4 linked regions of the Astyanax mexicanus genome follow. The protein of the gene in region 1 purifies or fractionates together with the protein of each later gene. This does not show direct contact. Links are inferred from orthologs where the notes say so. Each region holds a gene or a part of one and is shown on either strand. Other genes may lie near its edges. The genes, in order: cdca5, smc3, pds5a and pds5b.

What was found.
Region 2: the proteins of cdca5 (region 1) and smc3 purify together in Homo sapiens (affinity purification with mass spectrometry; 7 studies listed by BioGRID and IntAct, counting the BioPlex papers as one, with this or other methods). This does not show direct contact. The link is inferred for Astyanax mexicanus from reciprocal best matches to the Homo sapiens genes CDCA5 and SMC3.
Region 3: the proteins of cdca5 (region 1) and pds5a purify together in Homo sapiens (affinity purification with mass spectrometry; 4 studies listed by BioGRID and IntAct, with this or other methods). This does not show direct contact. The link is inferred for Astyanax mexicanus from reciprocal best matches to the Homo sapiens genes CDCA5 and PDS5A.
Region 4: the proteins of cdca5 (region 1) and pds5b purify together in Homo sapiens (affinity purification with western blotting; 4 studies listed by BioGRID and IntAct, with this or other methods). This does not show direct contact. The link is inferred for Astyanax mexicanus from reciprocal best matches to the Homo sapiens genes CDCA5 and PDS5B.

What each region holds. Positions count from the first base shown.
Region 1 is NC_064408.1:21,133,813-21,140,725, forward strand, and holds the start of cdca5 (sororin), read left to right. Parts: upstream 1-3,890; 5' UTR 3,891-4,087; coding exon 4,088-4,139; intron 4,140-5,895; coding exon 5,896-5,975; intron 5,976-6,692; coding exon 6,693-6,755; intron 6,756-6,850; coding exon 6,851-6,913. Other genes in the region: zfpl1 (zinc finger protein-like 1), read right to left, coding at 830-941, 1,043-1,144. UniProt on the Homo sapiens protein: Regulator of sister chromatid cohesion in mitosis stabilizing cohesin complex association with chromatin. May antagonize the action of WAPL which stimulates cohesin dissociation from chromatin.
Region 2 is NC_064430.1:22,055,073-22,062,185, forward strand, and holds the start of smc3 (structural maintenance of chromosomes protein 3), read left to right. Parts: upstream 1-4,089; 5' UTR 4,090-4,275; coding exon 4,276-4,290; intron 4,291-6,627; coding exon 6,628-6,703; intron 6,704-6,986; coding exon 6,987-7,025; intron 7,026-7,113. Other genes in the region: dusp5 (dual specificity protein phosphatase 5), read left to right, coding at 428-837. UniProt on the Homo sapiens protein: Central component of cohesin, a complex required for chromosome cohesion during the cell cycle. The cohesin complex may form a large proteinaceous ring within which sister chromatids can be trapped.
Region 3 is NC_064432.1:20,279,008-20,286,289, reverse strand, and holds the start of pds5a (sister chromatid cohesion protein PDS5 homolog A), read left to right. Parts: upstream 1-4,271; 5' UTR 4,272-4,483; intron 4,484-4,651; exon of another isoform or gene 4,652-4,674; intron 4,675-4,685; exon of another isoform or gene 4,686-4,815; intron 4,816-5,546; 5' UTR 5,547-5,587; coding exon 5,588-5,704; intron 5,705-7,282. Other genes in the region: n4bp2 (NEDD4-binding protein 2), read right to left, coding at 139-263, 504-1,359, 2,537-2,786. UniProt on the Homo sapiens protein: Probable regulator of sister chromatid cohesion in mitosis which may stabilize cohesin complex association with chromatin. May couple sister chromatid cohesion during mitosis to DNA replication.
Region 4 is NC_064425.1:46,070,764-46,077,926, reverse strand, and holds the start of pds5b (sister chromatid cohesion protein PDS5 homolog B), read left to right. Parts: upstream 1-4,147; 5' UTR 4,148-4,289; intron 4,290-4,636; exon of another isoform or gene 4,637-4,795; intron 4,796-7,163. Other genes in the region: n4bp2l2 (NEDD4-binding protein 2-like 2), read left to right, coding at 1-466, 844-968, 1,539-1,627, 1,801-1,877, 2,534-2,696. UniProt on the Homo sapiens protein: Regulator of sister chromatid cohesion in mitosis which may stabilize cohesin complex association with chromatin. May couple sister chromatid cohesion during mitosis to DNA replication.

The sequences.
Region 1 (6,913 bases):
GGGCAAGCAGAGACTCAACTTCTAAGAATTTCATGCTGTCGGAAATCTTTTCTTGAACAAAGCAGATGCAACAAAAACAGGTCCAGTCCATCTGATTTTGTACTGTATGTAACATAGCCGCTTATCTAACATTTTGATTTTGATACCACTGCTCTACATGAACAGCTGGAGTTTCTAACAGACATTCCAGACAAATGCGCTTTATATGTTTGTATGCATTTTAAGGTACATACATACATACAACATATAATTTAATACATGGTTGTGACATGGATTTTTGCTGAACCTTTGCTTTCTCCAATATGTTTTTTTAAGGAGAACCCATTAATTTAATGAGCTGATTTTATTTATTATTTTATTTTTTTAGAATACTTTTAAAAATATTTAAATTCTGATGGCTGAATGTTCTTCATAATGAAAAGTCTGTTGCTCTTTAAAATGGTCTAATTGCATTATAACGCTGTTATAGCATCATTATATCTGTGGCATAAATTGGCTTAAAATGGCAATACTATTGTTTATCATAATCTTTTCTGGAAAAATATATTCTCCAAACAAACTTTTTATCGTGACAAACCTACTGTATAGCTGATTTCCTCAACTGGGTGCAAAAAGCTGCATCATGTCCAACCAATCAACCATCATTCCATTCCTCTAACTGAGAAAGGCCCCCAGCTCACATGTGATGCGACTTTGTATTTAAGGAGTTATCTTTAACACCCTTACACAGTATTATAACCAGCCATTGCTGCTAAGCAGTATTATTCATCTAGCCACGGCATGCACATGCTGATTTAGCCATGAAATATAATGTAAAGGACTGACTCACCATAGCACACCAACCTCACAGTGTCCTGGGAAATAAGAGGTTGATTACACAAACTGCAGTTGGGATTGTAATCGCTGTCCTGGAGCCACTGCAGGTAGGATTGTACTATACACTGCACAGAAGCGGAACAGAACAGCACAGTCAACATTTGAAGGTGAACAAGGCGGACAGCCAACATGTGAGATCTGTATACACAATAATCAGTCTACAGACCTTACTGTGATTGGATACAAGGCAGTGCTCACAAACATTGACCCGATGTTCAAAGCAGAAGAGGTTTGTAACCTTCCTCTTCGGGCACTTACACAGACCCATGGTCTGCCTGTCGAACTGTACACAAACACATGAAATTAGTGTAAACAAATGTCAGTGCATCAATGCCCCAAATAGTTGTACACTACATAGAAAGTTGGTGGCTGCACATTTGAGCCAAGTTTGATTATTACGGAAACATTCTTTCAAATTTAAGTAATACCTTCAGGCCATAGAAAGGGATCAGAGACAACTGGCCTGTACCCTTACATTATCACCATATACAACCTATGCATTTTTCTACAGTACATACTGTTGCATGAAAATAAAGACACAAACATGCCTAATTATGTCTGTCAGACGTCATATAGGAAACTGACATAAATAACTGATTAGCACAGTGATTGATTATTCTACTCAGGCTTTAGTAGAGTTTAATACATCTGAGATACTAAATAACTGATCAGATAGAAAGATAAATAAATAAATAGGTGATAAATAGGTAGACAGACAGACAGATATAAAAACAGATAGATAAAAAACATAGATTGATGTTTAATATTTTATTACATTAAATTACTTTAAACGAAGGCCAACTGGACTGTAACCTAATGTTTTATAAAGTGGGCTTTTATCAAACTAAAAAAAATAAATAAGGAAAAACAGTAATAAGACAATACACTGACATATAGCCATATAACCACATCAACTAGCTAGGTTAGAAACACACCCATCCTTTTCTTTTAAAAGTACAGAACAAATTAGTGGCCTCAGTGTGATCAAATGTTAATTAGCAAGCTAGTTTAGTAGGTATATTAAGTTACTCCCAAATAGTTGGTTTCAGAATCAGCTGTTCCACGCCCTAAGTAGACGTACCCTATGTATGGAGCAGGGGGGGATACATCACCTAAAATAACAAAGTAAATAAACCTGTGTCAAGGTTATATAGGTAGGTATGTTGTTTAGCTAGCTTTAACGCTGTGGGTAAGAAATATTAAGCTGTATGATTTTTCAGTGTCTTGTTATCGCATATTAGATCGCTTGGTTACCTGTCTCTCTAGTTGGCTAAGTTAGCCTGTTAGCTGTGTTTAGAGTGGGGCGTTTAACCCCAGCTGTCAAAACCCCGTTAGAGTAAAATCAGGGACGAATACGAGGCATTACTAAACTTACCGAGACAGCGCGGGTTCAGTCAAGCTCCGTGTCTTTAAACTGAAGCTCAGAACTGTGAAAAATGTCCTGGTCCAGCTAATCTAACTCATATTTGTGATGCATTTATCGGGAAGCATTTTTCTGCCACGTCTCTTCCGCTACAGTCGCAGAGTAATGACATCACACTGCACATGGGCTGTGTCCCAATACTCCTGTAAAGCCTTCACTTCTGTGTGCTCTTGTTTAAAGTCTTCTAGCCAATCACAGTTGTATGTCTTACTCTGATCTGAATTCTGCAACAAATTCGGAACTAGTTCAATTACTGATTTTAAAAGAGTATGTGATTCTATACCAAATGGTGTTATTTGCTTACTTAAAAGAAATTACATGTTTTCAGATACTTTTTCTTCAACACTCTAAGACCTAACCTGTTCTAATGATGAATAAGATATCTAAATGCTCTTTATGTCTGTAATGTACTCAAAAACAGAATTCAGTAAATAAATACATAAAAAAATAGAAATTAAACATAATATTTGTATTTTGTCTGTTTATTGCAGTGCAGTCATTTGATCAACAATGCTATTTTTATTATTATTATATATATATATATATATATGTATATATATATATATATATATATATATATATATATATATATATATATATATATATTACAAATTACAAAGCAATAAAAAACTCATAACCTGCCACATTAGCAGGGATGCTACCATGTTTTACCTTAGTGAGCAGATTTTTAGTTTTCCAATGCAGTGGGCGGGCTAATCATCTGTTTGTTTTCAATAATACATGTCTGTTCTGGTGGACAATAGGTCTTAATCTGTGTGAAGTGAAAAAATACATAAGAAAGTAGAAAACATAACATGTCCAATGGATGCAAAGTCGAAAAAGGTTTAAAAATATATAACTTAGTATTTCTTAAAATAGGGGGCGAAATTTGATAATAACTCGTGAGCGTCTATTTTAAATTGTTTGGTACAGCGTCTTTACTGCCTGCTCTTCTTAGTTTTGCCTGATCTACAAACCTGGAAATTCACATCCCCACCAGCTATGCCATTATATTAAACGGGACCATGAGCTACAGATCAGAGAACGTCGAACAAAGCACACTACTTATTCAATTATTGGGACACAGCCACTTTTTCTAAACGACAACGTTACAAACAGCGCCGCCTACCGGATTAAAGGTTGAACTGACGCTATTTTTAACTTGTGTTACATTTATTTCTAAATATATTTTAGAAATAATATTTTATTATAAGTCAGGAACGCATTATCTGACGTTTCTATTGTTTTTTAATAAATAAAAAAATCACTCACTATATATTTAATAATTAATTAATGTTTTAAACGAGCTTGGTAGATGAGTAGTTCGATTCCTACAACGAACCGATTCTTTTGTCCGTTTTAATGAATCTCACGTCGGATTTGGTTAAACTCACGCATTTTTGTAATGTTACAGTGTCGCATTTCATGATATTTGTGGGTTTTTTTGTGTAAGTAAAACAGTAAAATTATTATTATATCATTGTAATCCTTCACGTGTAACCGAACTGAAGGGGACGTTACGAATCAGCTTGAAATTAAAATGTTCAAATGAACCGACTCAAACGATTCATTCACAAATCGAGTCCCTCTGTTGTTCCGCCATTTCTGTTAGGAAGGCGGGTAATTTTGAAAGCTCGCCGGGCAGCTCGCGTTTCTCTAGTGAGAGAAATATCTCGAATTTAGTTGAACCGAGCGCGGAATTTTGGAGTTCACATATTTCTTTATGTGTTCGCGTTTTCTGTGGGCAGCAGGCTCGCTACTTTTTGACTTTTTTGAGTAACTTTAAAAATGAGCAGCAGGACACCGCGGTCAGCGTCGACTGGCCTCATAAAAAGCAGAGGTGAGTGACTGAACTGAACCAGCCCACGATAACTCTTTATTTCTGTACTGCAGAGTCATAACTAATACAATAACTAGCTAAGTTATTTAACTAGGTTGGCCAACTCCTATTTCATTTGCTTAGCCAGGCTAGCTAAATATTATAGTTATTTTAACGCTGTGTTGTCATAAGCTAACGTTAGCTTAAGTTACTGTTTGGGTAGTTAGCTAACGTTAGCTAACCTTACTAGCGTTAAGAAACTAACTAGTGGTAATTAACTAACTGTTAGCTCGGTTAACTTATATGTTATAGTCCTGTTTGATTCTGATAAAATATGTTAATTTAATAATAGGTTCGAGTGTCTTAGTTAGCTAGCTAATGATTATCTAATAGAAATTAATGGAACCAATGTGTGCTTTTTGTGGACTGCTCCTTCTCTGAACTCAAGCTCTTACATAACAGTTAGCCAGCTGGCTAGGTTAACATTAACATTAGACCATTTCAGTTCTACTCTCTCTTAAAAGTGCAACAAAGGGAGCCTTACATATTAGTGTAAATATTAAACTAGGGGTGGGCGATATGGCCCTTAAGACAATATCATGATATTGCATGGCATTTGTGTGACAATACTCTACACTACTGCGGCAAATAAAAAGGAAATTATATTGTTGCACAAAATATCACCCCTAAAACACCTAATTTAGATATCAGCACTTCAAATATCCAGGATTAAAGTAAAATAAATGATGCTGCACAGTTATAATCTGTCTCTAGTAGATATATAACAGGGATTGAAAACAGTGTTTATTTTTCTTTTGCTGAAAACAGCAAAAAGTAGTAACCTGATGTGATAAAAGGTTGGATATGGCACTATATTTCAGGGTATAAAATCGATATAATTGCGTACAAAATTATATGGCACATCCCTATATTAAGCAATACAAAAACTCATTTTCACAAAGCAATGTATTGTTTATACATGTTAAACTGTTTATTCGAGACAGTATAAGCCCTGAAAGCTCTCCAACAAACATACAACTAATTTAAGCATTGTCTACTTTCTTTTAATGGTTTTACAATGTTGTTAAAAGGTAGTTCTGTTTATGTTTGTTGAGAAATGTTGTCACAACCTAATTTAGTTAATAATTAATAGTTAATAATAATTAATAGTTAATATAAAGTTAGGCTGAACCAAATTAATTTCTTGGCCAGACGAGAACAAAATTACAGTTGTAAAAACAAAATAACCTAATCAGCAATGCATTGTTAAGACAAAGCAATCGCAGAAGTACCAATTTTGAGAAGTTAAGTAAAAGTATAATAAGAAATACAGAACTAAATGAGATTCCAGTCTAATTGCTTCCATTCTGACAGATATTTAAATTAATAGTTTTGGTTGGCAAACTTTAAAGGCATTTACTTCCAAATATTTAGTGCATTGCTATTAATAAATGTACAGTCTGACAGTGTTTTAGGCACCAAACAATAGGTTGTCACAGTCTAAGTGTGTTTGCTGGGACCTTTCATAAATAAAGTGCACATAATAAAATGTACATTTTTTGGCAGTAGTTGAACTAGTGTTATGTTGCAATGTCCTCATTAGCGATGTCCTCTTCATTATATTGCTAAAATATCATGAAATAGTTCATAATACACTCTTAGAATTTAACGTAACACTCTAACTGACTTTTGAAAATCTTTTTGAGAGTTGCTGAATCAAATTATTATGACATTTCATTTTTGTTTGGGTAAGTTTAGTTGTGCATTGTGTTCTTAGAAACAGATGAAGGCAGCCAACAGCGAAGGAGATCAGCAAGGCTGTCGGGGAATGAAGAAAACCTGCCCCCCAAAGATGAGGTGAGAATTTTGCTGGATGTTCACTGTTTAAACTATTCTCTAAATATAAAGCTAGATTACATTATTTTACAGGAATCTGACCTACTGTAAAACCTTTTTTGAATAATATGTTAAAAAAACAAAGGTGCATCGAAAACAGCACACTACTACAAGAAGTAGTATTTAAAAGTAGTGCTTCATCATTAGAAGTAAACAAAAGCCCTAATAGGCAAATCTGTTCACTTTTCCACCAACTTTACAACTTTGGGCTTTATCAGTACATACCAAGTTTAGAGTAACAAGAATTCATATTTTATCCATGTGCCAGTCTCTTTCTTTATAATTTCTGTAAAGTACAGTCATTTGTGTTGTGTACATTAAGAATCGTATGTGGTTTGGTATACATGCTCAGGTCCAGATGCACAAAAGCATTCGTATACCACTGATTAGAAAACTTCGCTACTTTGAGATGCGCAAGTTGCTTAAACAAGCATTCAGTTGCACACAGTGTGTATACTCTTTTTATATAAATGCGGTGGGTTGCGCTGGACAGGTATCACATCATCAGTACCTGATGTGAATGTGGCTAATTGCAATAAAATATTGCAGAAAAGATTTTAACACCTAGTTTAAAGCCTTTCCAGGAGAGGATAGGCTTTTAAAGCATATGACTATGTGTCTACAAACCTTTAGGCATATTATGTTATTAATGATTTATATGCCTCTTTGCTTCTTCAGGTTCCACGCGTTTCTGTTAAACGCTCCATCACTGTACGAAAAATTGCACCCAGGAAAACTCAGGTAACTACAAATAAGCACATTGATAAATAAGCACTGTTCTTGTTTTCATTCATTATACATATATTTCTTCACACCATGCTTTTTTTTGGTCACAGGTACCATCAGAGCCTATCAAGGAAAATGTGGAAAGAAGATCCAGTGCCGGAAACAGAAAGAGG
Region 2 (7,113 bases), on another chromosome or scaffold:
CACACTGTAAAGGGTGGCATTATATTAAATTATATTCTCAGTCAGAGCTCTATAAAACAATCTGATAAACTGAGTCAGAAAGTGCAGATTCTTAACTTTCACCAGTGTTTGTAATATAATATAGTACAAATTGTCTTTGGCATATTTGATTTGCAAAAACTATAGAATATAGATGTAATGTAAATCTTGTTTCACTACTGATTGTAATTGTGTAATTACATTTAAATGACATTTGTATGAGATTATAATTAATTTATTAAATGATAATGTATTATATTATATATATATATGTCATAGTAAGACCATGTGATGAATTATCGAGTTATAAATTTTACAGTGAAGCTTAAATTCAGCAGAATGTCAGTAATAATAAATTAGAGTTACTTTATGAACGGTTTCTGATCCTCCTCTCTCTCTGTCTGTTTAGACGAGGTGAAGCAGGAGGGGGGTAAAGTGCTGGTTCACTGTGAGGCCGGGATCTCCCGCTCGCCCACCATCTGCATGGCCTACCTGATGAAGAAGCAGCGTCTGCGGCTGGAGGAGGCTTTCGAGGTGGTCCGGCAGCGCCGTACCATCATCTCTCCCAACTTCAGCTTCATGGGTCAGCTCCTGCAGTTTGAGGCGGAGGTGTTGTCCTCCACTCCGCCGTCCGCTCCTCCCGCCACCGCGCCCTGCCAGCAGGAAGCCGCCTCCTTCTTCAACAGCAGCGCCGCCGGCGACGCTAAAACCGACAGCAAGTTCTCCTTCGAGGGAACCTTCGAGTCCTCCATGTTCACCTTTCCTACCTCCTTCCTTCCTTCACCGTTCAAACTCAGCCCAATCACTGCCCTGCCTTAGCGGGACCTCCCCAAGCCCCGCCCCCTCTGACTACTTGAAAGATGACAGAATAACAAGCAACAGAATGGAGGAGAAAGAGACTCTGTGTTATTTATAAAGACAGTGTTTGAGTCCGGATCCGGGAGCAAGTGTTGATTTCTTCTCTGTTGTTTGCCTTTGAAAGAGTCTGCAATACAAGCCTTAGTTTAATCATGTGATCTCTGCCTACTGATGCTGCCCAGAGCGGCGTTTCACATTAAATTATTGATTTTTTTTTATGTTTTCTTTTTTATGAAGTATAAAGATCTGTTAATAAATGTATTTACAGAAAAGTAAGCTGTTCTCATGTGTTCTTTAACAAACCAATTATTGATTATACTGTGTAAAATCATTTGAACAGTTTTTGGGCATTTTCACACCTGTAATTGCTTTCTATGGTCTAGATCAGGTGATGAGTTTGTTTATTTGGACCGTTTCTCCCTCTATTCGGTTTGTTTTCACACAGGCATAAACCTAAACGCAACAAAATACACACCAATAAACCACACAAGCACATCGTCTCCTCTGACTGGTTAGAGCTGTCTGGTGTGTGAACAAGAAAGTAAATATAGTGAGAAGATTCTGTGTTCCAGGGCATATATCTGTATATCTGTGGAGTGTGAAGCTGCTTTAATACAGAATACTGCAGTGCAGGTGTACACGTAGCAAACAGAGTTGCACGGCTGCAAGCAGTGAACGCAGCACAGACCGTGCTTAGTGTGTAAACAGCATGGAGCAGCAAAGACAGTGTTTGATCATAGCTGTGGTAATTAGTGTTATCTGGCAAATATATCAAATTAAACTGCGCCTTATCAGCATTTTAGCTCAAATAAAAAAAGTATTTTTAATATCTGGGTTGGATTGAGACCTGATCACGATCACACCACAAGAGAACAAAACGCTCCAGAGATCGTTTGGGACAGAGATCACCTCCTCTAGCAGGTCTCGGTCCAGTTGTTTTGATCTGAACCCGCGTGTGATTACTGTTTACACACCTGCTCAAACAAAAACCGCACTAAGAGTACATACCAACCAGAGTCTGTTTTAACTGTATTGAATAGTGCTGATGTGAAAAGGCCTCAGACATTATATTAGTTTGAGTAGATCACCATGATCAGATTTAAAGAGCTCTCTGAGGCCTCCAGACGTAGCTGTAGATGCAGAAGAGTCTGGAAAGAACCTCAAAAAGATCTTAGAAATAAATCATGTAAATATGGAACAACTGCAAACATTACCAGGTCAGACTTACAGTGCTAACAATGCTGAAGAGAAAACCACTGGAGTAAATAAGATAAATTTCTTAACTATTCTAGAATATCATCACAGAATCTACAGGTAGTTTTTGTCTTTACAATTAATCATAATTTACATAATCTACCAGCAGTAAGAAACAAACTGGTCTGATCTTCATGGGACGTGTGGAAGGAGAAAACATCAGAGAAAGACTGAAGATCTCCAAAGAACTCTTAAAAAAAACACCAGGAGCTGTTTAAATCAGGATTAACACTGTTTAAAATGTGAGATACATAATCACATTAAACTTTCAAGTGCACAAAAAAGGCAAACAAAAAAAGATATGAAGTAAACAAGAGATAGCACAAGCTTATCTTAGAACTATCTAATTTTGGTAAACTAGACATTCATTCTTTATTCCAACTGTTAAAACTGATCATTTAATAAAAAACAGTAGTTTCTCCAAAGAGAAAATTTAAGAAAATCTTGTTACAATCAACAAAGCTTTTTGTAGAATTGTATCATAATTTTTTTCTTAAATAATAAAAAACATCTGAGAAGCATTTCTTTCTTAAGACATATTTGTACATTTGGTCTCAGTGGATTAATTCGGATTAGATTTTAATAATATACAGAAAAAGGACAGGCACCAACCGTATACAGCAGACAACCAGTGAACAACCAGCCAAGAAACAGCCAAGAGAGATGCAACAGTGACCCCTGTTGTGACCCTGAAATTAGGTGAACATGCTTATAAAGTACTTACATATAAATCATTGTTTTACTATTCAAGTGTTCCTGATTAAAAAATAATATTTCTCCAATTAAAACTTTCCAAACTAATGTAATATATTTGTGTAAAAAGTGTTAATTATGAAAGGTTGTGAATTTAATATAAAATATCAAAATTAAGTTAAACAGAAATACAGCAATACAAAATATTATAGATGTGAAAGTAAAAAACACATTTTAAGACAAACAAAAGCAAACTGTCACTACCCAGATAGCAAAAGGTCTAAATTGTGCTAATCAATAACTGTGACTCCATACACACAGTGTGGAATTCTGCAGTAGGAGAAGAAAAAACTATATATTTGCTCAAACTATGATTTTGGCTTTTTTCACAAACAAACAAGTCAGTTCAATCTATATGTATATGCACAAATAAATGCTCTTAATGACTATATTTTTATTTGGAATTTGGGAGAAATATTGTCCATAGTTTGTAGAATAAAACAACAATATTGCTATTTATAGGTTTATATTTGTGTAAAATGAACATTATTATTTTGTCCTATAAACTACAGACAACATTTCTCCTGAATTTCAAATAAAAATATTATCATTTAGAGCATTTATTTGCAAAAAATGAGAAATGACTGAAATAACAAAAAAGATGCAGAGCTTTCAGACCTCAAATAATGCAAGGAAAACAAGTTCATATTCATACAGTTTTAAGAGTTCAAAAATCAATATTTGGTGGAATAACCCTGGTTTTTAATCACAGTTTTCACTCATCAGTCTTACACACTGCTTTTGGAAAAGTTAATGCCACTCTTGGTGCAAAAATTCAAGCAGTTCATCATTTTAAGTGGTCTCTTTTTTTTTTTTTTACAGACCTATATATATAGAGATTCGCGTGTCGCATTAACATAATTTATAAAACAGAAATAACGCAGAACAGAGGGGGAGAAATAGAGAAATGTGGGATTTTACAGTAAAACTGTCTCCAAACAGCCGCTTCTCACATTGGCGCCCAAAGCTGTCTCAGTGAGGGCTACACCAAGATCTCAAAATGGGGGTTTATTAGACTACCTATGCCATAATGTAATGAGTCCTATACAGTATTTCACACAAATATGAGGAATAATTTATTTGAAGGGATATTATAATCATAATAGGTGATTATAATAGTAGTTGTGGGTTTAATAAAGCGATAAAGACAGTGCTAGAAACCAGACTCCCCCTAATTCAGCGAGGTAAGCTCGTCCGCTCCGCTCGCGGCGCCATTTTCCATGTTATTTCATTTCTGTGAGGAAGATTTTGTGTTTTTAAGCTCAGAAACCGGATTAAATCTCGAGCTGCGGGGTTTTAATTCTTATCCGGACCTTCTTCTATCTGCAGAGGAGGAGGAGGAGGGCGCGGGAAGCGTCTTTGCAGCGGGGTTTATTCCTGCAGAGCGCAGACATGTACATTAAACAGGTGAGTGAATGGGAGGCAGCTTTACCAAGGCTAAGGCTAAGAGAAGCTAAACTATGCTAAGCTAAACTGAGCTGAACCGCATAGTTAGGCTAGGCTAGGCTACAGTTTAGAGTAGCGCTGCAGGTTAGCTAGTTAGCATAGCTACTGTAGTTTATGTAGCCATATACAAGCAAACTTCAGTTAATACATATTTATGGGACATTTTTATTTGTTTGCTCAATTTTTCATACAAGTAACGTTAACGTTAGCTAAAATAGTTAGGTTAACTAACTAGCCAGCTACGTTAGCTAGCTATATGTTTGAGGCTGAGGTAACGTTAGCCAACTAGCTTAGCAAGCTCGAGCTAATCTTCTCACCAAAATATAACCTAGTTATCGGGATCTGGGGGGTCAGACTATAACGTTAAATTAGCTACTGTTGTACTTAACTAATGTCAACTTACTGTACCAATAAACAAAAAGATGTTTAATTTACCTAATTAAAATCTATAATACCGTGCATTTGGTTTTATTTGGGTAACTAGACCCGTAACTTTAGCTTTTGAAGCTAACCTAGCTTAGCCAACTATCTGACAAACTTGCGCTGCTCTGACACAGCTAACGCTAACCTGGCTAACACTAACTTTTCAGTCTTATTACAGAAAGATAAAGTTATCTAACTGTGTGCTGATATTAAGCAATAATTTGTGTAACATTTATTTGTGTAACGTTTTTCCTCAAACATTTTCAAAATGTCCACATATAACCTAGATTATGTTAACTAGCGAACGTTACCTCTCTATTATTTTATCTTATGGTTTTCATATTAGTACCAGTTAAAAGTTTGTACACCTCTTCTCGTTTAATGTGTTTTTTCTTTCCTTTTGTGTTATTTTTTTATATTGTAATTTTAATATCGAAGACTATGTTTAAGCTATACAAGTACACATGTAGAATCATTTAGTAAACAAAATGCTTTAGATTTTCTCAGCGTCTTAAAGGATTTTCTGGAGGTTGAACAAGAGTAGCTGCTTTTCCTTCACGCTGTGCTCATTTGTATACGTTGTATATAGGTTACATCTGTTACAAAAAAAATACATGTATAGCATGCCACTAGTAAGCAATAATATCGCAAAAATGTCGTTTGAATATTATCATGAAAAAAAATTATTTTAGGGCCATATTGTCCACCCCTAGTATGCACAGTTGCATCGTATGCAGAACTGTAGAGTGTTGCTACAAACTGTTTCAGATCTTAACTCTGTCATATATAAAGTCGTGAAGGGTGATAACTAACGTTACTAAATTATACGTTTTTTAAACAACACTGTCACTTTACCCTCACTGAGACACTTTATCACGTTACTGCTCTTTCTTCAAACTATGCTGCTATAGCAGAACTTGTTTATTTTATTTTAACAAATGCTTTATGGGTGTAAACTGGACAGTGAGATTACAATTTTGCTCCACCTCATGTACCACGTGTGATGTGAATGACAACACAGTCTTCTTGAATCCTTAAACTACATACACTACTGATGTGAGATATGGGGGGGAAATTAGGATAAAATACAAGATTATGTTTTGACACAGCCAAATTCACTAAGCTTTAAAACAGCAATTTAAAGTGTACTCAGAAAACGTAGAGCTCATATGTATTAATTTTTAAAATAATCTGTACTCCCAGCTAATAAGGACATGTTTAATTACACTGGTAATAGCTAATGTAAGTGATCACAATTTGTTTGCCCCAACAGTATTCACAGTATGTTCAGAAAGATTGCTCAAAAATAACAAACTTTCAGTGAATAATAATGATAACTATATCCACTTGTTGCATAATCTACTAAACCAATTTAATGTTCAAATAGCAATGCTCCTTTACATATTGTAATGAACAGTATGAATATTCTGCCTTTTGTATAATCTCTTGTTAAATTAGCAGATAAACCCCTATTCGGATATTCTCCCATACATAATACAGTAATTTTACATATACGAATTTCTGCATTCCTCCAATTAAACAGGGGTAGTTACATCTTTGTAATGAAATGTTCAGTTGTTTCAGTGCTCTTTAAGCACTGGTGATATCCATGATAGATTTAGAAAAATAGGTTGTGTGTCACAATAACAAAATCACAGTGGGATAAGAAATTGTCGCAATACCTTATAATTTTAGTTGACGTGCAAATGTGTTTTACTACTGATCTATGATGTAATTGGAAAAGTGGACAGTGGTGTAATCTTATTGTCTTGCCCAACACTAGTGCATGATAAAAAGATGCATGATAAAATTCAGTTTAACTTTAGTTATTAAGTGAACAGAAGTAAGTATATTTATTATCATATGTATCCCCAGGTTATTATCCAGGGCTTCCGCAGTTACAGAGACCAGACTGTGGTTGACCCCTTCAGCTCCAAACACAATGTCATCGGTAAGTTATTCTCATTTTGTTGGGCTGTATTTCTCTGCAGCATGTAGCAGACACTTTACTTTTTTTACATTGTAGTTATATTAGTTATGTTGAGAGAGTATTTCTGTAGTTTACAGTTCGTTGATTCTTCCTGTCATTTGCAGAGGGAGATGATTGACTTGAATGTGATGACAAATAATTCATTATTTTAAAACCCATTCTGCCTTATTGTGATGAGTGTATGTGATTTGGATATTTTGGAATAGTGGCCACAGCTTTTCATGCTTTGTTTCATTTTCCCTAGTTGGTCGAAATGGATCTGGAAAGAGTAACTTCTTTTACGGTATGTACTGCAACCGGTATGACTCAGTGTCTTTACTATGTGTGTGCCAAATCATGTCACTTGCAATAATAGAGCTTATGAATTATTA
Region 3 (7,282 bases), on another chromosome or scaffold:
GTTAACTGTGTTGAGTATGGATAATTAATAATATTAACAGTAAATATAATGCAGCACAACTTCTAACTGCACAATTGTTGGGGAAAAATCACACATCAGCATTGAATAAAACACTAGAAATGATCCTGTATAATTCACCTCTCACATGATTCCATGAATGAGCCTCTCCCAGTTGATCTGGATTATAATGATACGTCCCATTGCGGGTAAAGTACTCATCTGTGCTTAGTACCACCCCACCTGGGTTATGTTCCAACATGGCACTGCAGAGGACAAGACAGAACACACTCTTAGAGCATAGACACACACACACACACACACACACACACTTTGGTCTTATAAAGAACTAATCATTTTGTGCCACAACCTAACATACTGGCCACACTGGTGAACATGCTAATTGGAATACAATGCAACATGCTGAGATAAAGTGCAATGTGATTTCAACACAACATACTTAGTATAGGTAAAATACCGCATAAAGCAATCAAAAACAGGCTTACCTAGCGAGTGTGGTTTTGCCTGATCCTGGAGCACCTCTGAGCAGCACCAATACCGGGCCCTCCAGTATGAGCCTACTCACAGGAGGGAGGGTCCAGGACTTGGGAACAGTGGCTGAAGGCTTTAGAGGAGCTTGACTGACGGGCCTGCTGGCCAGCCATTGTGCAGTGCTGAAGGGATGGCCATTCCAAGGGTGAGGGGGTCTCATTACAGGGGTAAACCGGGGACCAGGACTGCCCACACGGGGCTGGAACACTGGAGCCTTAATGTTCCAGAACATGGCAGGTGTGTGTAGGCTTTCAGGATGGGCTGTTGGGCCGGTGCGGTTTGGAAATGTACCAGGCCGGCAGTACGCCTTAAAGGCAGAAGGCCTGGAGTGGGAATCCTCAGTCAGATGACTGAAGTCCACAGAAACATTGTTCTCTTTGGGACAAGCTGCCCCTCCAAAGCTTAGCTCGTTTACTGGTGATGCCCCTCGGTGGGCCTGGCCAGGCAGCGTGGTACTGGAGTCAGAGCTTAAAGACCCTGATTTTGAATCATTCTCCACATCCAGCAGGTGCAGGTCCAGTACGGCCAGCTGGGTGCCAGAAGGACCCTGGAGTGCCGTTATAGCTCCCAGTTCCTGATCAAGAAGATAATCAAATTCCTCCGTCAGATGTGTCGTCTCTGGGCTCTGATTCCGCTGTGGGTTTACTTTGTCTGGCCCTGTGAAACCTTCTGAAATCTTCTTGCTCGTTTCCATCTGATTCGTACGGGGTTGTCGGTCCAGTAGAGCAGCTGCCATCTCAAACCCTGAAGGTTGTGTAGTAGTTTCAGCAGCATTAGAGAGTTCTAGCAGAGAATCCATTGCATTCTCCACTGAAATACAAGGACATGATAACTGTGAGTGCACATTCATAATCTGATTATAGAACTGTTCTGATTATTCAAGCAGTCATGTAAACAGAGTAATCTGGGTAAGATTTTATTAAGATTTTAGCTCAGTAATCTGATTTCTCAGCCCATGGTAACCACAGTAGATTCGCATTTCTCAGGGCATATATACACTATACATCAGAGTGTTCTCAGATTTCTGAGCCGAAATTCTAAGCCGAAATTCACTACAGGAAACACTAAAGCGCAAGTCACTAAAGGTGTCAATAATATATTTTTTAAACTTTTAATTTCTAACCACCTTCAGACAGCCTGTAACTGTTTTGGTTGAATTTTTTCATTTAACTTTTTCTTCATTTTGTTTCGTCCATTTTTTATTTTCTCCATTAGTTATTGGCATTTTTTTTTTTTTTTACTTTATTTTATTTTTACCGGTTACTTTCTTTATCTTTCATTTTGTGTGTTATTGTATTTTTATTATTTCTTTCTTGATTTGACCACTATATTTCGCCTGTCAACTTATCCTTTTATTTTACATTATTTTAACTCAATCTCAGTTGTTTGTGTTTTATTGCTTTTGTAATTTAATTTTTATTGTAATGTTCATGAAGTTCCTTATTTTAGTTTAACCTGATGAAATACTTGATTTAAAGTTTATTTTCCTTTCCAGTTTCTTTAAGTTGTAAATGCTCTGCTGCACTACAAATGAGGGTAACCCTCAGCGTACTCCCGAGTGAAAATAGTGGTTGATTGTATTTATGTCTTTAATATTAATTTACAATTTTGGAAGTAAATTAGATAAAGAAATAAAGAATAACACTGAATGAGAAAAAGTTTCCGAACTTTAGACTGGTACTGTAGTTCCCTGTCAGCTGTAGTGTGTAAATAAACAGTCAGAAGTCAGAGTATGTAGGAGTTTGAGGAGATAAATACATTATACTACATAAATATAGTATAACATAAATATAGTACTATAGACAGTTAGATAGTTTAATGAGTTTAATGTCCTGTAGGTAAAAAAAACTGAAACAGGGGGTTCTGTTCTGTTGTAAACAAACTTAACTAGTTAGCTAGGCTAAGCTAAGCTAAGCTAAGCTAAGCTAACTAACTTTTAGCTAAGTAACTTTCAGGTAACCTGACTCTGACAGCGGCCCAGACTCACCGTTAAAGTCTGCCTCAGACAGCAGGAGGTGAATAACCGCCGGGTCCAGGTGGGAGAACATCTCCTGCATGCTCAGCACGATTTCCTCACGGTTCTGAGCGCTGGACCGGGGGTACCCGGGCTCTATGGACCCAGGGTCGGGGCCGGAGTTCTGCGGGGCGGCCCGTCTCATCGCTCCGCTTCCCTCGATGTCCGCGGCGTGCGGCGGACCCCGGCCGGGACTGTGTCCGTTCCTCCTTTTCTTTGGCATGGTGCCGACCGCGCTTCAGGCTCGGGCTGCGGGCAGAACCACCGCTGACCACACTGACCACAAACCCAACCGTCCACCATTAGCGTTAGGGCAAGCTCCCACAATCAAAACAGCCCCAAATCTCACAGCGCCCCCAGCGAATAGACGGAAACCGCAGCAAGCTGACTGACTGACTAAATAACTGACTAACAAACTGACTAAATAACTGACTGACTAACTAACAAACTGACTAAATAACTGACTGACTCAATGACTAACAAACTGACTGACTGAGTAACTAACTAATCAACTGACTTACTAAGTTAACTGACTGACTAACTAGCTAACTGAATGACTGACTGACCAACTGATTGAATAGCTAACTGACTGACTAACTAGCTAACTGAATAACTGACTGACCAACTGACTGAATAGCTAACTGACTGACTAACTAGCTAACTGAATGACTGACTGACCAACTGACTGAATAGCTAACGGACTGACTAACTAGCTAACTGACTAGTTAGGTAACTGACTAACTGAATAACTGATTGACTGACTGACTAACTAACTAACTGACTAGCTAACTAACTAATTGGCCGACAGATTGATTGACTGACTTGATAGATATTCACCATAAATAATACAACTATATATGAAAATATCACACTTAAAACATATGCACAAATATAATCATTATTGTATACAATAATGTGAAAATATGCTTGACCTCTACTTATTCAAGTGTAGTTAGTTACAAGATCCTAATGCTTGGCTACTATGTAGTAAAGCGTGGGAACGAGATTCTAATGCTTGGCCACTACGTATTAAAGTGTGGGCCACTACGTATTAAAGCCTAATAACAAGTTCGGTGTGTGAAGAAAATGTTTAAGTTCCGGTCATATAAGGCCTCCCCACGAGTTATGTATCTCGTTCCCACGCTTTAAAAAGTTGTCGCCACGACTTTTACATGATATCACCTTACGGTACGCGTCCACTGGCACTTTTCTTCAACGCAGGTCGCCGTGCCGGATCTCTTGGATCGCCGCGTGTGGGCGTGTCCGTAACGTTTTTGAATTCAAATGAAGCAACAGATGTAGTCAATCATAAGTTTAATATTTTACCTTTTTAGTCAACTTCACTGTGATCTATAGTTGTATAAATCCATATTCCGCCATTTTAAGCCTCTCTTCTGTGTTTAAAAGGCGCCTGTTCTGTGTGTGTGAGGCTCGTCTGTGTGTGGTGTGGCAGCCTGCTGTTCCCTGATTGGCTGGACGCAGCGCGGCGGCCGGATTCATTTGAATAAAGTTGAGATCTGTTCAACTTTCCTGCCGGAGGGCGGGGCTGCGCTCAACGCAACGCAACCCAGTATGCACCGCGGCATGCGGCGGCTCTCTCCATTGAAATGAATGGGATGCGTCGGGGCTTAAGTGCCAGTGGACGCGTACCGTTAGGGACTCAGTCCATTGGTTCCAGTAACTCGGAGCTCCGTCCGGAGTCGACTCCGGAGTCGTTTGTGGGAGTGAACACAGCCCGGGCTCGGTGTTGTTGTGCTGCGAGGCGGCGTTGGGACCGACGGGGGCGCTGCGGCTCCAGGTTTCAGAACGAGGACATCGGAACAGCGCTGCTGTGTGTGAAAGACAGGCAGCTTTGTGCCTAAACTCAAAAACCCCACAGTCCTGGAGCTGCCCAATGAATTAAAACAACTTGTTTGAGAGGTAAATACGGGGGAGAGGCGCTGGCCGGGCTGTGAGTGGAGCCGGGCCGTTGGGGGGAGTTTGTGCAGTAAGTTAGCGGGGTTAGTTTGGAGGGGAGGAAAGCTGACTGTGTGTGTGGAAGAAGCGCGTCGCCGGGCTGTGGGGAGCCGCGCTGGGGGGCTGGTTCGCGGGGTGAGGGACGGCGAGCGGCGGTGAGTGGCTGCGCCTCTGACTGTGCAAGGAGTAGTAGTAGTTAGCGGAGCTGGGAAAGATGCTGCTGCTGCCTCACTGAGTTGGACTCACAGAGAGGCAAACAAGTAGATAATTGTTGTTTTCTGCGAGCTAAAGTTGAGGTAAATTGGGAATGTGGTGCTGTTGAGCCGTGGGTGTGAGTGGAGGTCGGTTTGACGTGTGAAAACTTGTGTTTTTGATTGTATTGATTTGATGAAATTGAAGTGTTAAGTGAATTCAGGTAGTTTGCGGCCTAGCTAGGTTAGCTTAGCGTAGTTAGCGCGCTGTATGCTAGGCCACAGCTTCCCTGTTTTAATGAGAAAAGCTAGCTAGCTAGCTAATATTAGCATGTAGTTAGCTAACTATCATAGCTTTTGCATTGTCGGCGGGTTCTGAATTAGCCTAGCTTAGCTAACCTAGCGGCTTGTTTTGGTTTAAACGTTTAGAAACTCTTTCTCCATTTTTAGCGTTCATTTTATCAGCTAACCCCGCGGTTCGGTGGCTGGAGCCAGGGCTGGTTTAGTGATCTTAGGTTAACTAACGTTAACTAGTGTTGGGAAGCGGCTGCTGGACATGCCGTGTTAGCTAACGATAGCTAGCCACTAGCTATAGCTCTCTCTCAGGGCAGTTGGTCGGTTAGCTAATTTAGCTCGTTAGCTTCTCGGTTTTTGACTCGGTAAATTTCTCAGACCGGATCCGAGTCGGTTTTATTGCACGCCCCGGTTTCGCAGACAGGCTACTCAGTGTCCACAGGCTGTAAAGTCAGATTTTGGGAGGTTGTGAGCTGTTTAAAACGTGTTTTTGTGAAAGTACGGCCGGATCCCTCGCTGAACTTTTGTTTTCCTGCCCATAGAGGCCGGTATAGGACCGTGTGGGACATCAGCGCTTGGCGGCATGGAGTTCCCTCAGCAGCAGAGACCGCCGGGGGCGGACGGCAAGATCATCTATCCGCTCGGAGTTAAGGAGATAACGGACAAAATCAGCAACGATGAAGTGGTTAAACGGTTAAAGGTAAGAAAGCAACGTATTTAACGTTTAATCCGTATAACAACATGGCAAACTCTGGCAAAAAGTAAAAAAATATATATATTTTTGGGACTTTGTCTTTAGGATTTTTTATTATTATGCTGCTTTATCATGATGGTCCTAACAACAGTGATCTACATAGTGTAAAATCGTTTTTTACATATTTTTCCGCATATGTGTATTTATGACCCCATTGTATTCCTTTTAACGTTATAAATTAAATACATCAATAATAAGGTATGGTATGGTGTAATAACCAAAAGATGATAGGTTGCCCGAGGGCAACACTTTCTCATAAACTCATGAAGTTCCTTAGTGACTCAATTTTGAACTTGGTATCAATATTCAGAAATGGGTAGAGATGCTTCAGTCCTGTTTTGGTTCTTTTCCTGTGTATACAAACAAAGAGAAAGAATGGGTCTCTCTCAGAAGCTTAGTACATGTTTTTAGATATTTATACATATTCTACAGCAGTGACACATTTGTATTATGACACAATTATATTATATTGTTGTATGCTGTTATTGATCATGTGATGTTTGGTGTGCCGACATTCACAATAACAGACACTCTGTATAGAGTTCTCTGCAGAATTTTGGAAAGCTTTACATTACCGTAGATTGGCCAGTGATCTAAGTAGTTAGCTAATGTGTAGTTAGACAACCTGTAGTATTTTTACTGTCACATTTTATGTTAACATGTAATAACATAGGCATGTTACTTAAAATTAATTCATTTAAATTGACTTGGTAGGTACTGAGTATATATTGTTAGTCGTTTCTGGTATGTTTCAGTATTTAATAAAAAATTGTTGCATAATAGTGGTCATGATTGTCATAGTGTATGCTATATATAAATACACACAAAATAGAGATCAGAAGTGGGTAGGAATTTGACCATCATTTAGTTGTAGCACAGTCTGTAATTTGGTGTTTTTAGTTTGCTAGCTAACTTTTCTGAGCCTAGCTAGCCGGATAGGGATACAACCAAGACTAAACCTGTTGTCGTACAGCTAGCAAAAAGCAAAATACTTAAATGTGTATTGCAAGTTATGTAGCTGGTAGATTATCTGTATGACCAAAGTCAAGCCTTACAACATGTATTCAATAGCTTGTAAACAAATTGAAATATCAGGAAGTAGTAACTGCAATAGAAAACTGTTTAAAAGCATATTTCCATAAAATGCTGTGGGTGTTGAGGCTGAATAAATTGTAAGTTGAAACTGTTTGACAGTCTGATGGTTGTAAATAGAGAGCTGGCAGCAGTACAGAACAGCAGGTATAGCTACGCGTTGGGTGGGGCTGAAATGTCGTAAGTTTACTTGTTCACAGCAGGCGCTAAGCTAAGGTCATGTACACACACAGTGGGACCTTCTGTTGCTTGTTTTACAAATTGTAAATAGGCAAATTGAGTTTGCCTGAAAAAAAAAACAGATACGTATTTCTTTCATCCTGGAGTTAATTCTTAAATGATTCCATGTACTAATGAGTTTGTGGTTGAACTATCATGTTTGAAGGTAATGAAAAGAATGATTTCTTAAATTGCTTGCTTACTTTTATCCAG
Region 4 (7,163 bases), on another chromosome or scaffold:
CATGGAAGCCTCAACCACATAACGAAATTACATGGAACGGTCCTGATGCAGCAAACAGCCATCCAAGTCAGTGGCAACATCTTCCACCACCAAGGCTTCCACATGACCCACCACGATTTCCAATTCCTGGCCGCCGTCATTTCTTACCTCCACCCCCACCTATACCTCAGACTCCTACACCACCTCTGCATCTCCTGCCTCCTATTAACAACTACAGTCACCATGACACCAACAGCTGGTGCTCCTGGGAAAGGACCAATTTTCCTCTTCGTAATGACATCAGACTTTCTGCATCAAACTGCCCTGAGTCATTTGAACAGCGAGGAAGAGGTTCAGCTGACTGGCAGCCATATTATAAGACACAGCATTATCACGAGCGAGATCAGTACCAGCGTAACAGTGGCACGTCTCCGGTTTTGATTTTGATGAGAGGACTTCCAGGCTGTGGGAAATCAACTCTGGCAAAGTGAGTTTTCAGAGCGGCTGTACAATCAGTCAGAAGCACACCTGATTACAGTTGTATAATCTGTTGGCTTCAAATGCTCAATTAGTTGAGGTGTACTTTTGATTTGAATAAAAATCATCAGTCACACCAGCCTCTTTGTGGGTAAAATTGGTGGCCCTTGTATTAATGCATTATTTTAAATGGAAAATCCATTTTATTTACAATATCACACCGATATATATATAATACCATACATTTTTGTAATATATTATATAGAATTTTGCTGTGATTAACATCCTATTTTACATTAACTAAGAATTCCGCACATTTAACCTTCTTTTACATCATCCCTTTCTTTTCCCTTCAAAACACTATTGACTATTGTATTTTCTTTAAAGAGAAATATTGTCCTGTGGTCCTGATGGTCTAATACTGAGCACTGATGATTACTTCTTCCAAGAGGACAGCTACTTCTTTGACCCTACTTTACTTGGGAATGCACATGACTGGAATCAAAAGAGAGGTATTACTTATTTCTACAGAAGTTATCACATAAAAACATGAATTACATATTGCGGAGACCCTTTTTTAACATGAGATATGAAACACAAGAAAGAAATGGAGCTCTCACAAATACAGGTGAACAGTGTGAAAATATTGAATGGTAATATTTCTGAGCATATCGTGGATATTGTCAGTGAAAAACACACACTGACCAACTGACCATATTTTTTTAAACATCAGATTTTCCATATATACATAATGTGCTCTATATGGGAGAGAATTTAAACAGTTTGGCTACATCGTCATGTTAAAATGTAGTCAGTTCATGCAGTACTAATTTAGACGTACCCTAAATCTACTAGTTTAGAACTCACTGCATTGAGTGTGTTTTAAGGATATTTTTTATCGTAACCTACAATTTAACGTACCTTCAGCTGGTGTAACTGGTTACTTGGATTAGATTGCAGTCTGTATTAGAATGAGATATTCAAAAGTGTTTATGTTTTTGTTTTTAAAGCTTTGCTCTGTACTGAATATTCTTACATTTTCAGCTTCATAGCTAGCCGTATATTCTGTTTTTTTTTTTCAGCAAGAGATGCTATGTTGGACAGACGTTCACCTGTTATTATTGACAACACAAACGTTCAGGCCTGGGAAATGAAGCCCTATGTTACATTGGTAAGTTATCAGAAAAAATGCCAGGCTATCCTATAGGTTTCCTGAAATATGAAATATAACTGTGTTTATACCTGTATGTCTGTAGAATTTTCAAATAAACAGTGTTTATTATTCCTGTTTCAGTATGGTAATGTTTATGACTGTTTTGTATGTGCTATTTTATTTTTTTGCAGGCTTTGGAGTGTGGATATCGAGTAGATTTTGTTGAGCCTGACACACGATGGAAATGTGATCCCACTGAGTTAGAAAAGTAAGTCTGTGCATTATGTAGACCTGAGTATCCCAGGGAAGGCTCTGACTGTTGGTCTTGTGGGCACCCAATATGTATGTGCCAAGTAAATTTTCTTTGCATGTCCTCTTAAAAGTTTGGGAGCATAAAAGCCCACTCCACTCCTAAAAATAAAGATGCTAAAAAAGGGTTTGTGCATCATTGCCCTAGAAAAAACAATTTTGGTTGCATGTGACCCATTTATAGGCATAAAGAATCTTAATGTAAACTTTCTGATTGATAAAGATTCCCAGCACCCTCCTAAACCAACCCAAATCTCTCTTATGAATGTGTTTATCTATAAAATATCTCAGACAATGTTTAGTGGTTTAGTGACAAAAGTGAACCTGATTTCAGAATGTTTTTGATCAAAATTAAAGTAGGATATTGTGTTGTTGTTACTTATTCTTCACTTTATGTCAAAATATTTTTGGACTTTTCTTCTAAAGAATGTGTTTAATCATGTTCTTTTGTTCCCAGCCACTTAACCCTCCTGTTATGTTGCATGTCAAACTATTTTAAAGCATAAAAATAGGGGAACAATATTTGTAATTAATTTTGGAGCATGCTGGCCTTAATTAATATTATGGACACAGATAATGAGTAATACATTTAATGTGTTTGATTCATTTCAAAAGGAGGAATACACATAGGGTCCCACGGGACACTATAGCAAAGATGCTGGATCGATTTGAGCTGCCTATCAGTGTGGACATCGTGATGAACTCCTGTGAGCCTCCTCATAAAAGCAAAGAGCGCCTTTCCAAACCCTATGGACAGAGAAAATATGATAACTTTTAAATCTTTTATCAGACAAAGAAAATAATAAATATATATTTTTTACTTGAACTTTGGAACAAGCTTTTTTTGTTATTTAGTCAGTAGACATGTATTTGTGTTTTTAAACTTCTGTAAATAATGTTTAAATTTGTATGACATTTTGAATTATGCTCAGTTCAGGTCTTTATTTTTGGAAATTTGTGTACACACAAAGCTTTGTGATTTTGTATTTCTGTCCACTGTCTTTATATTGATTAATGAAGAAATGTCCATAATGTCCAGTTTAATTACTGACTGTAATAAAAAACTGATACCATACACTTTGTCCTTTTACACTGACTTTATAAACCAATGGCTACATTCACTGCTGTTTTCTTTTTGTTGTAAAACGTGGATGTTTTAACACTTTTGTTTGAAAGGAAAAAAAATAAACTCTCAGGTAAAATTTTAGCCAAATGCTTTCGTGAGGATAAAGTCATTTACAGGTACTAGATGTCTCGTACACTCAGTTCTGTCTCCCTGTTCTAAACGAGTGTCCCCATGGATGTCCCTTAGTAGAGTCTTTATTAGATTACATTTCAGAGAAGCGAAACCTTGGAGGTAAGATTGGGTTTGTAATCGGTACCTGTATCACCTGTAACACAGCTGCCTTTACTGCCTACAGCTTACATATAAAGATGAGAACAGAAATTATAAAATTACATCATATAATAATTATAATACTAAATACATTTCTATTACCCTGGTGGTAGGATTTGGGATTAGTTGGTTGTGTTAATTTCTGCAGGTTTTGGATTTAAAACTGTTGTTTTGGCAGCAGGGATTGGGGTTTTAGTCTAGGGGGTTTAGTCTGTTGCTTTGGTCAATGGATTTGGGGTTTAGTTTGAGAGTTGTATTCTAACAGGTCTTAGTCTGAATTGCTTAGTCTGAAGCATTTAGTCTGTTGGTCCTGTTGTAAGGGACTTATATATGTTTATATAAGTCTAAGGACAAACGCCGGAGAGAGAGCCTGAAGGTTTTAGTCTGAGGGGTTTAAATGTGATGATTTTAATCTGAAGAGTTTAGCCTGAGGATTTTAGACTGAAGGGTTTATGTCGACGGTTTAATTCTAAGTGTTGAGTTTGAGAGTTTTAGTCTGACAGTTTTAGTCTGATGGTTATATTATATTCTGAAGGAATCATTTAGTCTGAGTCTGGATCTTTAAATCTGAATTTATAATGAATGTTCCTGTCTGATTTATTTATTTTGAAGGGTTTAGTTTTAGTCTGAATGGTTTATGATTAGTTTTAGTCTGAAGGGGTTTAGTTTTAGTCTGAGGGGTTTAGTTTTAGTCTGCAGGGTTTAGTTTTAGTCTGCAGGGTTTAGTTGTAGTCTGCAGGGTTTATTTTAGCCTGAAGGGGTTTAGTTGAGTCTGCAGGGGTTTAGTTTTGTTCTGGGTGTTTTGGTGTGTCAGTTCCCGCCGCGTCCTGCATGTGGCGCTGTTGGCCCGGGCTGTGTGAGGTGAAGGGGCCGCTGGATTGGTGCAGCCAGCGGACAAATTGGCGCCATTTTGAAGCGGAGAGGAGGATCGGGGAGCTGGTGGAGAAGAGACTGGACTGCAGCTCCTCTAATCAGGTAGATTTTTATTAAAATCAGGAGCTGCTGTTCGGTGAGGAGTTACGGGATTTAGTGGCGGAGTGTGCGCGGGGAGCGGGAGGCTCGGCTGCCGGGGGGCGCGCGGGGGCTTTGTTGTGTTATTTCAGCGCGGATCCGGTTAAACTGTACTGAGGTCCATTCTCTCTCTCTCTCTCTCTCTCTCTCTCTCTCTCTCTCTCTCTCTCTCTCTCTCTCTCTCTCTCTCTCTCTCTCTCTCTCTCTCTCTCTCTCTCTCTCTCTCTCTATCTCTCTCTCCCTCTCCCTCCCCCTCCCTCTATCTCTATCTCTCTCTGATCCGGTTAAACTGAGGAGAAGCGGCTTCTCTCTGCAGGCTGAGGGGAAATATATGGATTTTTTGGTGATTTATCCGGTTAATGTGTAATTTTTTCAGCCTGAGCGCCTGTTTGAGTTGAGCGTTAGCGCCAGAGCTGATCTCTAGCAAGAAGGGCTAGCTGTTTATGCTAACTAGCCGTTAGCTTAGCTAGGTAAGGTTTTCATTATTTTATTATTTATTTAATTCCAAAAGAAGAGATTTTGTGCTTTTGAAAAATTGCACCTCTTTATGTTCACGTATCGGTCCCTTCTTATAGCTTCAAGACTTTTTGATTTTTTTATCTGTCTCTAGAGAGGTGTTTTTAAATGGGTTAGCTGTAGATGCTAAGCTAGCTCTCTAACTGCTGTCTGTAGCTGAGGGTCTGAGGGGTTAGCTTAGCTGTCATGTATGTAGCCCCTTTTTATTGTGAAGATAAATGTTCACATTTATTATCTGTTTATCGATAAAACTCTTGTCAGGTTTAGACGAATCCAATTTGATTCAGATTAATCACAAAAAGCCCGTTTTCTGACGAACGTTTTTCTTTGGTAAAAATCAGACCCTTCAAATCAGACCCCTAAATGTCACCTGTCAAATGGTTTCAGAGGATTATTTATTTAATATAAATACATTACCTATTGCAGCTAACTAACCTTTTTGTCTATTGTGTGGGTTACAGGGTTTGGGGTTTAGTCTGGAGAGCTGGTTGCAGGGTTTGGGGTTTAGTCTGGAGAGCTGGTTGCAGGGTTTGGGGTTTAGACTGGAGAGCTGGTTGCAGAGTTTGGGGTTTATTCTGGCGCACTGGTTGCGGGGTTTGGGGTTTATTCTGGAGCGCTGGTTGCAGGGTTTGGGGTTTATTCTGGCGCACTGGTTGCAGGGTTTGGGGTTTAGTCTGGCGCGCTGGTTGCGGGGTTTGGGGTTTAGTCTGGTGCGCTGGTTGCGGGGTTTGGGGTTTAGTCTGGCGCGCTGGTTGCAGCGTTTGGGGTTTAGACTGGAGAGCTGGTTGCAGAGTTTGGGGTTTATTCTGGCGCACTGGTTGCGGGGTGCGGGGTTTGGGGTTTATTCTGGCGCACTGGTTGCGGGGTTTGGGGTTTATTCTGGAGCGCTGGTTGCGAGGTTTGGGGTTTATTCTGGCGCACTGGTTGCGGGGTTTGGGGTTTATTCTGGAGCGCTGGTTGCGAGGTTTGGGGTTTATTCTGGCGCGCTGGTTGCGGGGTTTGGAGTTTAGTCTGGTGCGCTGGTTGCAGGGTTTGGGGTTTAGTCTGGTGTGCTGGTTGCGGGGTTTGGGGTTTAGTCTGGTGCGCTGGTTACGGGGTTTGGGGTTTATTCTGGTGCGCTGGTTACGGGGTTTGGGGTTTATTCTGGTGCGCTGGTTGCGGGGTTTGGGGTTTAGTCTGGTGCGCTGGTTATGGGGTTTGGGGTTTAGTCTGGCGCGCTGGCTGCGGGGTTTGGGGTTTAGTCTGGCGCGCTGGCTGCGGGGTTTGGGGTTTAGTCTGGCGCGCTGGCTGCGGGGTTTGGGGTTTAGTCTGGCGCGCTGGCTGCGGGGTTTGGGGTTTAGTCTGGCGCGCTGGCTGCGGGGTTTGGGGTTTATTCTGGCGCGCTGGTTGCGGGGTTTGGCGTTTAGTCTGGCGTGCTGGTTGCGGGGTTTGGGGTTTATTCTGGCGCGCTGGTTGCGAGGTTTGGGGTTTATTCTGGCGCGCTGGCTGCGGGGTTTGGGGTTTATTCTGGCGCGCTGGTTGCGGGGTTTGGCGTTTAGTCTGGCGCGCTGGTTGCGGGGTTTGGCGTTTAGTCTGGCGCGCTGGTTGCGGGGTTTGGGGTTTAGTCTGGTGCGCTGGTTGCGGGGTTTGGCGTTTAGTCTGGCGCGTTGGTTGCGGGGTTTGGCGTTTAGTCTGGCGCGCTGGTTGCGGGGTTTGGGGTTTATTCTGGTGCGCTGGTTGCGGGGTTTGGCGTTTAGTCTGGCGCGTTGGTTGCGGGGTTTGGCGTTTAGTCTGGCGCGCTGGTTGCGGGGTTTGGGATTTATTCTGGTGCGCTGGTTGCGGGGTTTGGCGTTTAGTCTGGTGCGCTGGTTGCGGGGTTTGGCGTTTAGTCTGGCGCGTTGGTTGTGGGTTTTGGGGTTCAGTCCGTTACCCTGTTAGCGAGGTGTGGTTTTCGGTCTGTAGCGCTGGGTAATGCAAAAACATGTTTTAGTATCTTGTTTTTGTCGCATTTCTTTGTCCTTTGTGAATCTGGTGTTTTTACATTGACTTTCAATGAAAGTTAAAATCTTTTTCACTGCTGTAAAGTTTTTGTTTTGGAAATGAGGATTTTGCACGATTGACCGTACACAGTGCACAAGTATTAAATGTGTGTTTGTTTTTCTTTTTTTTTTTTTTTTCCTTTCCCTCCTTTTTAATAAAGCTATTTGGTTTAAGTCATAAATGGGTTGGTATGAGTTCTTATAGAATTCTTAAAGAATGTAATGCAAATTAAACATCGCCTGCTTGGTATTAACCTTTGGGACTCCTCCTTCTGCATTGGGATTGGGTTCTTTGCTTATTTGT